Linked DNA regions of Bombyx mori. The protein of the gene in region 1 purifies or fractionates together with the protein of each later gene. This does not show direct contact. Links are inferred from orthologs where the notes say so. Each region holds a gene or a part of one and is shown in the gene's direction. Other genes may lie near its edges.

The links. The genes of interacting proteins can lie anywhere in the genome.
Region 2: the proteins of MLE (region 1) and mitochondrial matrix protein p33 purify together in Homo sapiens (affinity purification with mass spectrometry; 3 studies listed by BioGRID and IntAct, with this or other methods). This does not show direct contact. The link is inferred for Bombyx mori from reciprocal best matches to the Homo sapiens genes DHX9 and C1QBP.
Region 3: the proteins of MLE (region 1) and nucleolar protein 56 purify together in Homo sapiens (affinity purification with mass spectrometry; 3 studies listed by BioGRID and IntAct, with this or other methods). This does not show direct contact. The link is inferred for Bombyx mori from reciprocal best matches to the Homo sapiens genes DHX9 and NOP56.
Region 4: the proteins of MLE (region 1) and nuclear cap-binding protein subunit 1 purify together in Homo sapiens (co-immunoprecipitation; 3 studies listed by BioGRID and IntAct, with this or other methods). This does not show direct contact. The link is inferred for Bombyx mori from reciprocal best matches to the Homo sapiens genes DHX9 and NCBP1.

What each region holds. Positions count from the first base shown.
Region 1 is NC_085132.1:4,401,523-4,405,037, forward strand, and holds part of MLE (MLE protein), read left to right. Parts: intron 1-844; coding exon 845-996; intron 997-1,732; coding exon 1,733-1,924; intron 1,925-2,898; coding exon 2,899-3,057; intron 3,058-3,515. UniProt on the Homo sapiens protein: Multifunctional ATP-dependent nucleic acid helicase that unwinds DNA and RNA in a 3' to 5' direction and that plays important roles in many processes, such as DNA replication, transcriptional activation, post-transcriptional RNA regulation, mRNA translation and RNA-mediated gene silencing.
Region 2 is NC_085114.1:15,035,364-15,039,400, reverse strand, and holds the start of mitochondrial matrix protein p33, read left to right. Parts: upstream 1-1,223; 5' UTR 1,224-1,333; coding exon 1,334-1,568; intron 1,569-1,772; coding exon 1,773-1,814; intron 1,815-4,037.
Region 3 is NC_085132.1:2,385,134-2,389,121, reverse strand, and holds the start of nucleolar protein 56, read left to right. Parts: upstream 1-1,174; 5' UTR 1,175-1,541; coding exon 1,542-1,544; intron 1,545-1,615; coding exon 1,616-1,820; intron 1,821-2,147; exon of another isoform or gene 2,148-3,503; intron 3,504-3,592; exon of another isoform or gene 3,593-3,934; intron 3,935-3,988. UniProt on the Homo sapiens protein: Involved in the early to middle stages of 60S ribosomal subunit biogenesis. Required for the biogenesis of box C/D snoRNAs such U3, U8 and U14 snoRNAs. Part of the small subunit (SSU) processome, first precursor of the small eukaryotic ribosomal subunit.
Region 4 is NC_085127.1:11,154,193-11,158,244, forward strand, and holds the start of nuclear cap-binding protein subunit 1, read left to right. Parts: upstream 1-1,238; 5' UTR 1,239-1,590; coding exon 1,591-1,630; intron 1,631-1,716; coding exon 1,717-2,498; intron 2,499-2,949; coding exon 2,950-3,368; intron 3,369-3,665; coding exon 3,666-3,803; intron 3,804-4,033; coding exon 4,034-4,052. UniProt on the Homo sapiens protein: Component of the cap-binding complex (CBC), which binds cotranscriptionally to the 5'-cap of pre-mRNAs and is involved in various processes such as pre-mRNA splicing, translation regulation, nonsense-mediated mRNA decay, RNA-mediated gene silencing (RNAi) by microRNAs (miRNAs) and mRNA export.

The sequences.
Region 1 (3,515 bases):
CATTTAAGCTTGCACCGTATTTAACTGTGTTTAGAACTTATTTTTGGGACCTAGATTTTTTTTTAAATCTGGAAATGAGTTATATGATAAGTCGTGTGCTTTTAAAAATTCTTTGAGTGTTTCGGAATAATAGAAACACTGCATGTCATTTGGATTCTATGTATATTGAAACACCACAGTTATCACCGGGTCAAGTAATTACACAGTATTGGTTTTATAATTCTGAATTGTATCAACCGCAGAAAAATTAAATCAAAATTCCATATCTGTCAATAAGTCTATATAACTTGAGTGCGTGTGTGTTTTTTGGTCATAGACTTAATGGTTATAGTGGTGGCAATGTTGCCTCATGCTCATTGTTTCATTTTGAGTTATCTCTTGAAGAAGATACGAGTCCGTAGAGACGGTTTAATATGAACATCATTTAAAAAATTGCTTATTTTTGCTAAAATGTAATTCGAAAATTAAAAATAATATTAATACACTAAAACCATAGTTATCGCTCTAACGTTATTTGAGTCGTCTATTATCAAAGGTGGCAATCTGTACATTTGGACAAAAACTTTTTATTGATATGTCAATACAGATTTATTTGAATATAATCGTCTCCTTCAAAGAATACGGTTCAAAACCTGCATTAAATAAAGGTTAATAGTTAACCTGTTATTTATCTAAGATGTCGTTCCGAAGAGTTTTGTGACTGCCAATATAATACAAAGTAAATAATTCGTTTTTCTGATTTACCAATCATTGTCCAAAAGTCAGATTGCCGCCTTTGATAATAGTCGACTCATTTTAAGTTGTGAGAGCCAAATAAAATTAACAAATTTAACGTATATTCCAGATATCCTCACGACCGCAATAGGCTTCAACGAAGAATGCTGTGTTCCACAACGTTGGATGCCGAACGGACCGGACCCAACTTTGGACTTGGTCATAGCCCTCATGTGCATGGGCCTGTACCCTAACGTTTGTCTACACCAAGGGAAGAGGAAGGTAACCATATCTAATACTGTACTGTAGATTGGGGGAAATAGGGACTAAGGGTAGAATAGGGACAAATCTTGGTTGTCACAATGCTTTTGTGAGATTTAAATTTGTTGAATAGAAAAGCAGTTTTATTTGGTGCTTAAGAATATAATAAATAGTTTGATGTAGTCACCAAAGTTTTGTAACTGATTAAAGATATTGAAAAGTTAATTACCTAAAGGTAAGTACCTACCTAACAACTAAAAAAACTGCCAGCCCTATCGATAATCTTGTCCCCCTACGTGACCCGATTCACCCCAAAAGCCAAGGTGAATCAGGTCAAGCTAGTTTTTTAAGTTTTGTGTATATTTTTCAATGTCTAATAGCGCATCGTATATGAAAATATAAACCCCTGGAACTATTTTAATCTCAATTATATTAGCCTAAGAAAAACCGCTGAAAATTTGTGTTGGATTTGAAAAGCATCCCGGTTCCCCCCAATCTATTGTAATATTTATTTATTTATTTCACTTTCACACTAGTGATTGGCTACTATGAGGCCAATGACCTTGTCGTTTAAAAGTAAGAATGAATCTATTTGTCGTTATAAAAATGAATGTGTCCCTGTACTTTTTTATTAAGCAGTAAGCAAATAAATTAACGAGTCTTTTTTTTAGCTTATGGCCTGGTATCTAGGACCTTTAGGCCAATTAACGAATCTTTTTAAAACACAGTGTTGCCATGGAAACCAATGTAATTTCAGGTATTAACGACGGAAGGGAAACCGGCATTGATACACAAGACCTCAGTGAACTGCAGCAACATGGAGCAGAAGTTCCCCTCGCCTCTGTTCGTTTTCGGCGAGAAGGTGCGCACCCGGGCCATCAGCTGCAAGCAGACCACCATGGTCGCTCCCATACATCTGCTGCTCTTCGGCTGTAACAAAGTGGAATGGGTTAGTTCGTCGATCTTCATTTTTGAAGTGAAACCTCTTTAGAATCGTTGCGATTTTAAACCCGATGAAACGAAAAAATAAGTCCATAGAGACACAAACACATAAATGTATAGGATATAGGTTATCATAATATGATTTGCTGTCAATACACTTACACTTTACCATCATCATCATCAGCTTAAATATTATTTATATTACTATACTTTATACCACAGACCTAATTCAATGAACGCCAAGACTTAATTTTATGCACAACAAAATATAATAAGCAGGTATATCGGCAACGAAACACTTAATAATATCCACAATGCGCACGAGTGCGAAAACGACTGATCAAATGTAAAACGTAAATAAACATTAAACAAGCGTTTTGTTTTTGCTTATGATCGGTAATTATTGATCAATGTAATGATTTATTCTACGGATTTAAAAGTATAAAAATAGATTTTTGTTTAGATATAATTTTTTATATTAGTTTTAAAATCCATTAATTAAATATGTTGATATTTTGCTTGTTTTTTTGCAATATAATGTCTTTTTTAAGAAGATTTAATGTGGATTGTTTAAAATATAAATATATTTTACCTATGGCAACTCCTTCAATATTATCAATGTAGCTTAGTCATGCTAATTTCTTTTTATTTATGATTTTAATAATCCCACCATTAAAATACCCTTAAATTTCCCTTAAATTTTATAATAAATATGTAAAATTGAAATGTTTTTTTCTATAGATATTTCATTCGTGTCCTTGAAAGCACTAGTAGCTGGGCCGAAAATGGCCCATGTCCTTTGTTCTAAAATAAAGCATTATTTGTGAGGGTGTTTTTATAAAGAGGATATTCTACGTAAATGAAGAGGTGGGTTAAATTTAGCGTTATGCCAAACTAACTATTCCACGCGGACGAAGTCGCGGGCAAAAGCTAGTATGTTATAAAATAGTGTTATTAAAATATTATTATTTTTTCACCAAGGTGGACAACGTGGTGCGGCTGGACAACTGGCTGAACTTCCAGATGTCGCCGCGATCGGCCGCCCTCATCATAGCGCTGCGGCCCGCCATCGAGAGGATCGTGGAGCGCGCGGCGGCCCAACCCGACGCGGCGCTGCAGTTCTCGCCGGCAGAGCGAAAGGTGACCAAACCGCGCACTCACAGAAATACTTACATACGACATGTCCTTCTTCAAACGAGGCTTGTGGAGAGTATTAAGCGGTAGGCAGCGGCTTGGCTCTGCCCCTGGCATTGCTGAAGTCCATGGGCGATGGTAGCCACTCACCATCATGTGGGCCGTATGCTTGTCTGCCTACAGGGACAATAAAAAAAAATCTCAAATATATTTTATACTTCCTCGTTGCGTCGATAATCCTCAATGCTGAGGGTTGTGACCTCATGAGGATTTCTTGGGAAAATACACGTGGTAGGGTCCCGCGTCATGTCACGGGAGTGCTTTTGGAAGAGATTTAGTTTTTCGAGGCCGCTGAAGCCTTATATGGCTCCGGACATTCGACGTTGACTGTTTTATGGCGGAAACGGTTGAACTTCAACTCAATCATCCCCTTTTCTCATCCGGGCTTGAGACCGGCATTGCTC
Region 2 (4,037 bases), on another chromosome or scaffold:
GCGTTTAATATTGTATAGCTTGAATAAAAACACGTTCCAACCAAGTCCAAGTTGTTAAATGTCAATTGTCAAAAACTTATCCTAAATTTTTATCGTTCCAATGGGCTAGCAAGGGGAATGTTGCCCGTACGTTATCTTATGTAACACACACCCGAAGTCTATTTAACAAAATTTATCGAGTTTTAAAAAAGTCCAGGTGGCTCTAGATGTACTCGTCATTTTACTGAAAAGTTATTTTATGTCACCAGAAATGATAAATGATCACTTGTGATGGTCTTATCTAATTTTACCTCATTTAAACGTTAGCAGTAGTGAAATAAAAATAATAAAAGCGAGATTAAACCGCAAATCACGTTTAAATTTTAAAAAATACCGAACCCGAAAAACTCATTTTACGAAAAACTACATTCAATGGATTTGTTTCATTTTTGTGCACTTTCACAAATGTTCAGAAATAGAATAAAACAGCTGGTTTTATGCAATTAACTCTCGAAGCGTTTAACCCTCAGACATAGCCACAGCCCACTGAGTTTCTCGACGGATCTTCTCAGTGGGTCGCGATTCCGATCCGGTGATAGATTCTGCGAAGCATGGCTCTTGCTAGGATTCGTGTTCACGGGGCTCAAACTTGATGACATTGCTATCATCAAGTTTGAGCCCCGTGAGCTCACCTATTAGTTAAGGCGATGCTGATATAGCCTCTCAAGGCTCAGCTTAGTTAGGTAAAAAAAAACCGGAGCGAATGAAAAAGTTTGATTTAAATTAAAGAAATAATTTGATTTAAATTAAGTAAATTATTTACAGACTCCCGCCATTTGACACAAAGTATTCGATTGCGCCAGACCGGGAATGAGTTCAGGATATGCCATCACCCACCTTGAGAAACAAAACTGGCATAGGCATGTATTAACAATAGGGAAAGGTCGATATCTATCCATGCATGCATGTCGCATATATTACTACCAGTTTTTTCTTTATATTTATTTTAACTTTAAATACACGGTTCCACCTTACGAAACAGAAGATTCAGTTTCATATTATGTTAAAAATATTCATCTCATCCAACTCCTAAAATGTTGCATCCTCTCATTTAAATCTATTTCATTTCATTCAATTTCATGTCCATAATTATTTCATTTATAGTTTTTAAGCACTGACTTCAGCTTTTCCGAAGCAAAAATCTTGTATAGGCTATTCCTTTGCCCCTCCAATAGACGAATCGTGAAACAACTAAAGTCGTCTGTGGTCTCAATTCTCATTCACTTTTTCAACCTGACTAAAGTTTTGTAAAAAAATTTAGAAAAGTGAACATTAAGTTCAATAAGCAGGAAAAATGAGCGGCATAGTTAAAGCGACCCATAGAGTGCTGCAAACATGCGTTAAAACTGCGAACTTAAGCGGGTTGGTTAGTCGCACACAGACGGCTGTGAAACGCGACTTTACTAGGGGTATATGGCACATGAGCTGCTCTCGAAGGTTAGATGGGACCCTGGCTTCCACCAGCTTGCTACACAACCATTCCAATACTTGCAGCTGCGGCTGCGGGTTGAAGGCGCTTCACACGAAAGGTATTAAATTTCCGGCTATCTCCATTATAGGTTATAATTACACCATGCTTCGTTGGTCTTTAAATGTATCACCAATAATAAAATAAGGTATTTGTTAACGTTAATTTAAAAGGAAATTATTTTTTCTAACAAATTTGTTGCACACAAATGACGAAATAATGGGAAATCATTAGACAAATTTAATACTTTAAATGCGTTTTCTAGCCGATAAAGAAGACGAACACTCCATTAAACCCAAGCCCCTTGGTGAGTCCTAATCCTATTCCTTAACTAGTAAGTTCTGCGGTGGTACTAGCTTCATGTTAAATTGATGAACTGAACAAAACTAAAATTATATGGACATATGAATATATTTAAATAAAATTTTGATCATCACCAAAAAGTACTAATACTCTGAACAAAATTTATCATATTTTAATATTATGTACTTACATCAGATCATTAGCCTTTTTGAAAAAAACACATCTTGCATCACAGGTTGTGCACTAAATGCAAAATTCAGAAACCTGGTGCGTAATATCAAAAACAAATGTACCCACTAACAATTCAATTGGATAATTTTTTTTTAATACAATACAAATAAACTATGAGTTCTCATTCAGAAACAAAACGGGACAATTAATCAGGGTATGGGTTTGAAATGCATCAACATTCTGTAGGTCCAATGCTTAGCTCATTCAAATCAATTTAGTAACAACAATAACATTGAAGATTAAATTAATTAGTCATTGAGGTAAATTTGGGAGTTTACAGAATTATTCAAAATTAAAAAAATCATCCCTGCAAAATTATCTTGGGCCTTTCAAAATCAGAAAGGTCTTAGAATCAAGCAGGGTACATTAAAAACACACTTTCATCCAGGAATGAAATTAAAGATTTTCATTCCTGCATAGAGGTATGTGACATTCTTTCCAGTTTTAGTGTGGGTGTGCTCTTTCTTTCAATTTAGAATAGGAATAACATTTATATTTTAAAATTTAAAATAATCTATTTCACCATTTTTAGAATAACGATTATTTCAAATCCTAATAACATGTATTATAAACATGGATAAATTTTTCAATATCCAATATACATAATAATATATCAATGTATAATGGTGATAACACGTGTTGCAATACTGTAGCACTGTATTTCTATCACTAAGCAGTTACGTGTTCAAGTTTGAAGGCATTAAATAAATCAATTAAGATCACAATCTCATGTTTCAAGGTGGGTGACAGAATTTATGTTGTGATGTCTGTAAGTTCTGTAATCACTTAACATCTGGTGGTCTATGAGCACATTTACCATCTAAGCAAATTCAAATTCAAATTCAAAATCATTTATTTCAACTTAGATGTCAGTATGACACACTTGTTGAATGTCAAAATACAAATAACAATGTTAACTCTACCACCGGTTCCAAAAAAAGCCACAGTCCTGAGAAGAACCGGCGAAACAAACTCAGCAGGCTTTTTTTTTTGTTTTTTTCTCAAATATTTTCTTTTTTTTAAATAAATAGAAATATTCACAATAAAAGAAAAAACAAGTCAAAAAAATACAATTAAAAAAAAAATTATAATAATGAAAAATGAAAAGGCCAGGAGTGAGCGCCTCATTCCCACGTAGTGCCATCTAGTAAATAATCCTTAGCTTTAAACAGTTTTCTTAAATCTACGAACAGGTAGTAGTTGAACGTTTAGTGGGATCTTGTTGAGCAAAAAAAGCATAAAAATAATTCCATTTGCTAATGGTATTCAATTAAATGTAATAATTGAAATCCTTAAATAGGACAGACATTACAAATAGGCAATGCTCATTTGCAGATAATCATTCATTTATTTATATTGTAAAGGACACCCTTGATTTTCTAGCCCCAATAGAAAACCTTGAAAAGTATTATTTTAACTTTAATTAGTACTGTGAGGATCTTTGATCAGTGTGCGCTGCATGTTGGTGTAGTTACTAATTAAAAAAAATAGTTACAGTCAAAACCGTTTACTGCGACATCGTTTAATACAACATGCCGGTTATAATAACCAAGAACAAAGGTCCCGGCTGAATGCCATATGACCGCCTTATTAAAAATATTGGTAATAACGACATACCTCATAAAACAACCACATTTAACTAATATTTCGGAGAATTAGATCTGTTAGAACGACCGGCTAGCTGTATTGTAAACTATTTGAATAGGTATCCACATTTGTCTTCAATGGCTATTAAAATCAGGAAAGAAAACAATAGGATTTAGTTTAGTGTAGGGTCTTTTCTAATTCTTAGAAACAAAACACGTGCATGCGGTAGTCAAAGCCCGCTTCTTCATATCTCTTCAGTTAGTTTGTTACTTATCTATACACAAGACGCACCAAAACTTTGTGGAGTTATTCGTGAAACTTTCAAAATGTCGCAAAGAAAAAGAAAACAAATTAATATTGAAGAAAAATCGCGTATTATGTAAATATATTTTTCCAATAACTCTCTATC
Region 3 (3,988 bases), about 2.0 Mb from region 1:
AATTACATAATTTGAATTTTTACTCTTGATTATTGAACGGGTTTTTTATTCCTTAACATTGTTATAAGTTAAGACTGTTTTACATTTATTTTTAGAAATTAAATACGATTAACCTTAGTTTGTACACAAATTTCAAATTGAAATGTCAAAAATTTCCGTTGAATGTTGTTGCCTCAATTTTTTTAATGACTGGGATAAATGACAACCGAGTATCCTTCCATAAGTTGTGAAAAAAATTTTTTTTTAACAATATACTGAGTTGTACAAAACACGGCGATTAAAGCAAATGATGAACTGGAGTACATGTTTTCTTAATTGTTTTATCCTACAACATATTTTTTTCTGAACCTCCCAGCTCTGAACATAGAGGCGACCATAGAGGATGTTGCTAATGCTCTTGCATCTTTTCAGAGTGGTTCTGCTGGCGGGCTTGATAGCCTAACTCCACAGCACCTTAAAGATCTAACTAGTGGCAGCTGTGGCGCCGTCGGCCAGTCGCTTTTAAAAGGCTTAAAAGATTTAATTAATTTTATGCTTTCGGGTAAAGTCAATGATAAAATCATAGACATTCCTACGACTAGGTATTTTGAATTTACAAATATTAAATCATAATTGTAGATGATGTAATTGTAGGATAATTAGTAATAAAATACAATAAAAGACTTGCATTGCCCGAGTTTATGTATGCAAATACGATTCGAAAAAAATAGCTGTCATAATTTCATCCACTATCAGTTTTAAAACGAACAAAAACGCTTTTTTTGTTGTGGTTGTTTGATGGATAAATCTACTCAAGGCTTTCTTGGTATAATAAGTGATAAAGTGAATAAATTGTCCTTAATCTATAAATATAACAAAATGAATGCCGACATCCATTTGGGTCATGAAGTTGAAGTTGAAGTATTTTTTGAAACTGAAACCCACGGCTGCTTCGTAGCCGAAATGGGCAGAATGATAATAACTAGAGATTGTTACTGTAATTGTTGGATTGTAGCTAAGGGATTACAATGTGCCATACTATTAATAAATAAACATAGTTAACAATTAAGAATATACTTTTGAGACCATGGTGAAAAATGTTATAATGTTTTCATAACGAGTATTATATTATATATAGTACGACTTGAAAATTTTAACGTATAACATTTTTTTAACTCTCTTTTCCAAAGCAAGCGAGGCTAAAACAAACTGTGTAGCTCAAAATTAGCCCTACTTATTTATTATATTCTACTTAATACTATAGTCAGAAATAAAAACGCTTAGCTTTTTAAATACAAATGTGAAATACCTCGGCTTCCATTTAAATAATAGCTTGTCGGCCATAGTATTTGCTAAATTGGAAAAGATTTTAGTGTAAGTATTTTAAATCTATGTTCCCTTGGTCTATGCAACCCAAACAATAAAAAAAACATTCCAGCCACACACAAGCATCAAAGCTGTAACTTAACCTCAAAATAATTATAATAGGGGAGCAAACGTAACGCACGTGTTTGTTTTTCCCCTAAATAATATGATAATGATTATGATATAAAACTACTAAAATGGTGCGTATTAAAACGATGTGTTATGACTTTGTTACGCTATTGTGAGTTATTTAAACCAATTTACATTGCAGAGTAAGTTCTATGTGTTATTCGAACACAGCGCGGGCTTTGCGTTGTTCCGCGTTGCTGAATTTGAAGAGTTAGCGGCTTTCCTGCCTCAGGTCGAAGAGTCCGTGACAGATTTGCAACGTTTTAATGCTGTTGTGACTTTAATAGCTTTCCAACCACACAAGTCGGCGATCGTTGCTTTGGAAAATATCAACGCGGTATCTGAAGGTTAGTTTTCGACTTCTCCTTGTCTTGTACTTTTAGTACTAATTTGGAATTTCGAAATATTTGATGTTTCGTCAATGTGTTGTTAAACTCCGAAGAGTCGTTAATGTGTCTGCAAGCTATCGACCTTGATTTAAGCTTACAAAGCCTCCACTACTATAAGTTAAAATTCTAGGGTCAGCAGACTAAAGCACATAAGTCAAAAAACTCTACTTTACAGGAATTAAAAAAAACTATTTAGAATCTTATACATTAACAAACTTAATAATGTTTATTTGAATTATATAAGTTTATAACACTAACTTATTATTAAAATTAAATATTTTAAAGTAAATGTGATTATTTAATAATTAGATGACTTAAGTTATAAGGAACACAATAATAGTATGAGTTAAGTGAAAAAGATCAACAATTAAGATATATATTATAATAATATAAGTCATAAATATAAATAACAACTCAATGTTTAATTAAAATTCTTCTTCTTATTCTATTATTCTTCTTCTTCTAAATATCTGGATCAGTATTTCGTAAAGTTTCCAACGTGGGAAGACTTATGTAAAATTCATGGAAAATATCTAGTATTAAAGGGAGCAGCGAAATTAAATCATTTTTTTTCTCGATGAATATGGGTAATGGCTGTATAGATATTATATCATCAGTTTGAGATCCCCCAATGGATGATCTCCTTTTCATAGCAAATGTCTTTATAAAATTGTCACTTTCATCTAACGGTTTCATTAAACATCCTCGGCAGACAGGTTCACCTTTACCATGCACAGTAAAAAAGTATTTTTATGTCTTCATTCTAAGCTTTTGCTTTTCAGTTTCAATAGCTCGTATTCTTTGTTTAGATTTATCTTGAATTTCCATTAAAGACGCCAAGTATGCAGATGTTTTTGCATATGACCCCATTTGCCAATATTCTGTAAATATGGCACGCCTATCAGTTAATGGTATACGTTCTTTACATTTCATTCTGCAAACAGGTAACTCTTTCAAATTCAAAATCATTTATTTCAACTTAGATGTCAGTATAACACACTTATTGAATGTCAAAATATAAATAACAATGTTATCTCTACCACCGGTTCCAAAAAAAGCCACAGTCCTGAGAAGAACCGGCGAAACAAACTCAGCGGGCTTTTTTTTTTGTTTTTTCTCAAAAATAAATTTTTAATTCATAGTGCGATCTGATATACATTTTCCTTTTAAAGTTTTGTATGCCTGTCCTAAGTTACGTTTTATTCTTTTTTCTTTTTTTATAGTACGTATACTCTTTTTTGGAGACACATTAGGATTCATTGAAATTTCATCACAAGTACTTGAACTTGATGTGATTGGAAGTCTCGGTAATTCATAACATGGATATCGTACAGAATCATCACTAGAGAAGTCAAGTACAGAATAGTATGTTAAGCTACTGACTTGACCTGATGATGTCGACGGTATAGGATCGTCTACTACTAGGTTCTACTAGAACTCTGTGTTCAAAATCGACTGTTGATTTACATTTTCTAAAAAAGGACAAGACAATTAATTATCTATTTATAATGATATAATATTGATATAATTACGTAATTTGCAAATCATAATTTTGAAGATATGTGAAAATATACCTTCATTGCTTTCCAGATGAGTGGATGATGCCATTTCAACTAATTTCTTGCCTCTTTGAATATTCATCTTAAATAATTAAAATACTTAAGCACTCACACAAAACTAACCAACAAACTGTGCACAATCGACAACATTAGTAAATTAAAACCACTTACCGAAGTATTGTTTACGTTATAAATATTTTTAAGTAACCACTTTCTCTAAAGAAATGTTACATTTTGATGTTCTTTATAACATAAGTCAGACTTCTTACGTTAATAACTTTGTACTTATGGTGTTCCTTAGAACATAAGTCCAGTTATGTTTTTTAGTTCGTTTGACTATATTAGGATTTGATAAGGTTGATACAGAACGCCGCTTGAATACGCCATGAAATACTTGAGTTTGATTTATGTGCTTTAGTCAGATTGTGTGTTGAGCAAAATGTAAACCGATGATGTAATAAAAAATAAATTGAAAATTTTGACTTATGTGCTTTAGTCTGCCGACCCTAGAATTATCATACGGATTCATTAAGGTTTCTCGGGAGTAAATATTAATTTTAGATTCTT
Region 4 (4,052 bases), on another chromosome or scaffold:
TGGCTTCGTCTAATTAAAAATCCGACTATAGTTGTGACAGTGGATTTTTTAGTTGCTACAATCCCATCTCAGCTCATTTTATTTAGTGTCATCCCAATTTATTACAGTCTAAATCAATTTCACCTTATTACGCACCATATCATTTTTTAAAAAATAGTTAATAAAAGATAGGCTGTAATGATGTTTCATGAAGACCTTTGGGAAATGAACTCTACTGTCAGTTACTGAAAGAAAAAGTCCTGACAGTTGACAACTTGACACGATATTTCAAGATTGTCACTTTGTCGTACAGTTGCCAGATGGGGGGGAATTCCTGCAAATTCGGGGGTTTTTTGACCTTGAAGATGAGATTCGGCGGGGAAGATTCTTTAGGGGACATTTGGGGGGAAAAAGGTAGTTGGGAGAAATTTCGGAGGTTTTTTGAGCACTATATAATTCATCCACAAACACAATTCCCATCACTATTAGAATATTTATAATCTACTATACGTATTATGCACAAAACAATATTATAAAGGAAAAATTACGCAACCGGATGAATAGGCAATAGAAACTGTCGAAGCGGTTCTCGAGATTCAATATTCACTGCCATAAGGATCCATAAATTTTGTTCCCACATCGGACATGTAAGATTTTTAATCTTTAACTCCGAAAACGTGTATTCTTTATATAATAAAAACGAAAGTGAATATGATTGTAAAAAATTTTTTAGAGGTGGTTGAAGTTATGGGATAGCTTGATTAAAAAATAAAAAAGATGTGGTGTCGTGGGACACCAGGTAGGAACGAAGTTCCTTGGGCTAATGTAGAATCGACACAATTTGCAAAAAAAGAAATGGTGCTCAATTTTATGTAGGTTTTCTTGGTTTTTCTCTTAAATTTTGCTGATTAGTTTTTATTTAAGCACGGGAAAGTATTTAGGAAATTGAGTATTTTAGAAAATAATAAATTACGTAAAATAAAAAAAATAGTAATTCAAATTATCAATTAAAATAACAAAATATATCTCTTTATTTTTGGTTGACAACATAAAATTACATAGAAATAGAAATAATTACTAAATAGAGAGAGAAGGGATTAGAGAACGAAAAGTAAGAAGGAGAAAGAGAAAGGTATATACACTACTCGCTTGTGTATGCGACTGTCGCGCCTGCGCACGTCTCATTTAACGGTTTTATTCCACGCACTTTTTTCCACGGATTTTTTCTTACGGTTTTACTATCACATTTTTTTCAGTTCGGTCGCGCAGCAAAATCCCTATCCCCTCCAAGCTTGCCGTAAGGAACTTCGTTCCAATAAAAGAATACTTTTGTATTTTATTTCTTCATTAAATTAAGTAAAAGCTGTTTTGGTTTTTTTTTTCAAAAAGCTTATTTTTCGGGGGGTTTTAAAAAAAAGTTGGAGGGAAATTCACACGGTCATCTGACAGCACTGCTTTGTCGCAAGATTTCGGAGTTGAAGACATTGAAAATTTATTCAAAGCTTGTTGAGTTTGCTATCGTTTTTTCTGTTCTAAACGTAAAATACGATTTCGTAAACAAAAGCATAAAGAGAAAAGTCAAAGATTTGTGATACGCACAGTGATTTTATTATGAACCGTCGTAGAGGACATGATGATGAAGAAGGATATGGTGAGTTGTTAAGATCAAACATATACAGGTTATATTTAATTTTATTTGTACATTGTGAAGTATGTAATTGTTTTTACTATTTTCAGAACGCCTCCATCGGAAAAGGCGTCGTGTATCTGAAAACCAAGAAATCGAGGATCGCTTAGAGTCCTTAATTTTAAGAGTTGGCGAAAAAAGTAGTTCCAGTTTGGAGAGTAACCTAGAAGGATTAGCAAGTGTACTGGAAGCCGATTTGAGTACCTTTAGAGTTAAAATACTACGGATACTAACGGATTGTGCTATCCGCATGCCCGAGAAATGTACAATCTATGCAACTCTTGTTGGTTTGTTGAATGCAAAGAATTATAACTTTGGTGGAGAATTTGTTGATTACATAGTAAAAACCTTTAAAGAAAATCTTAAAGTCGGGAAATGGAATGCTGCTAGGTATTGTCTAAGGTTCATTGCGGACTTGGTGAACTGTCACGTATTGGCTGCTTCATCATTGCTGACTTTATTAGAGACATTAGTAGATTCTGCTAATGAAGATGGAGTACCTCACGTCAGAAGGGATTGGTTTGTATTTGCGGTGCTGTCAGCATTACCTTGGGTTGGTCGGGAGTTGTATGAAAAGAAGGAATCTCAATTAGATCACTTACTTGTGACTATAGAGGTTTTCTTGAATAAACGGAGTAAGAAACATTGGCCAGCCTTAAAGGTGTGGTCGGCTGATTCACCTCATTTACAAGAAGAATATTTGGATTGCCTCTGGTCTCAGATAAAGAAGTTGAAACAAGACAATTGGTCAGAGAAACATATTCCAAGGCCATATCTTGCCTTTGACTCTATTCTTTGTGAAGCTTTACAACACACACTTCCTGCCATTCAGGTATCATATGAATTTATAATAGATATACTATGATTTTCTAATACAAATTAGTTAAAGTTTACATACTTTGGTTTTGTTCGATTATGGTATTCGATTATGGTATTTATATGGTTCATTACCACCAAAGTACAGTTTACTAGTTATATCTGGAGCTGCCCACTTCTAGTGCATTTTATTTAATTTACCTTACACACACTTTGGAACTAGAAGTAACTTGCCCTGTGGAAGTTCGAGGCTTGAAGAACATGTGTTTCTTCAAGCAAAGGTTGCAGACTAATTTATTTCAGCTTGTGTGCCAGGGGTGCCATAAATAAATGTTACATGTAAAGATTGACTAATAAATGCGGTAACAAAACTAATAAAAAGTTAACTTTTTTTAAAAAGTTGCACCAATATAATATTTTCGTTTACAAATCATATGGTAATAATTGATGATGTTTTTATATTTCAGCCACCACCCCATAATGACACTGATACTTATCCAATGCCTCGGGTTATATTCCGTATGTTTGACTACACAGACTGTCCAGACGGACCAGTTTTGCCTGGAGTGCACTCTATAGAGAGATTCTTGATAGAAGAACATTTGCACAATATTATTGAGACATATCATTTAGAACGTAAAGAATGTGCTGCTCAACTCCTCTGCTTTCCTTACAAAGCCAAAATTCCTCTGGAATATTGCATAGTTGAGGTGATATTTGCTGAATTATTTAATTTGCCAAAACCAAGGTATTTGGAGATATGTTATGGTTCAATATTAATTGAACTTTGCAAGCTTCAGCCATCAACAATGCCACAGGTTCTAGCTCAAGCTACTGAAATTTTGTTCATGAGGATTGACACCATGAATGTTGCTTGCTTTGACAGGTATGTTAACCTTGGATGAAATTTGAATACATTGATAGTTTCATTTTAATTTTGTGGACTCAAGACACTTACACCTTATCTTTTAATTTATATTTTTCTTTAAATGTATGTATGTGCATGTGTATAGCTATGGGATAATTAATGAACAATATAAAATTTTATTTTGGGGTTTTCTGTTCAAGCATATTTCACAAAATGATACAATGTTGAATAGAAGAATGTTGTTATCTTAAATATCACTTAAAGAAGATTACAGTTGAATAGTAAATAATATTTTAAAGTAGTCTTTTTTTTAAGGTTTGCGAACTGGTTTGCCTACCATTTGAGCAACTTCCAGTACAGATGGTCATGGGAAGATTGGGAGGCGTGTCTCCAATTAGATCCTGAACATCCAAAACCCAGGTTTATCAGAGAGGTCCTCGGAAAATGTCTAAGGCAAGTTTATGAAAGTTTCCCTTATATATTCTATGCTAACATTTTGCGAACATGACAATAATAATATAATAAACATATAAGTGAATTTCAATATTATATTAACAAAAACACGAAAATAAAATATATTTCTAGTAAATTAAAAACTAAAATTTGATGTCTCAAAGCTGTTTTTATATCGACAATTTACAATTAATAGTGATAATATGAAATACTTATTTGTGATTTTTCAGGCTATCTTACCACCAAAGA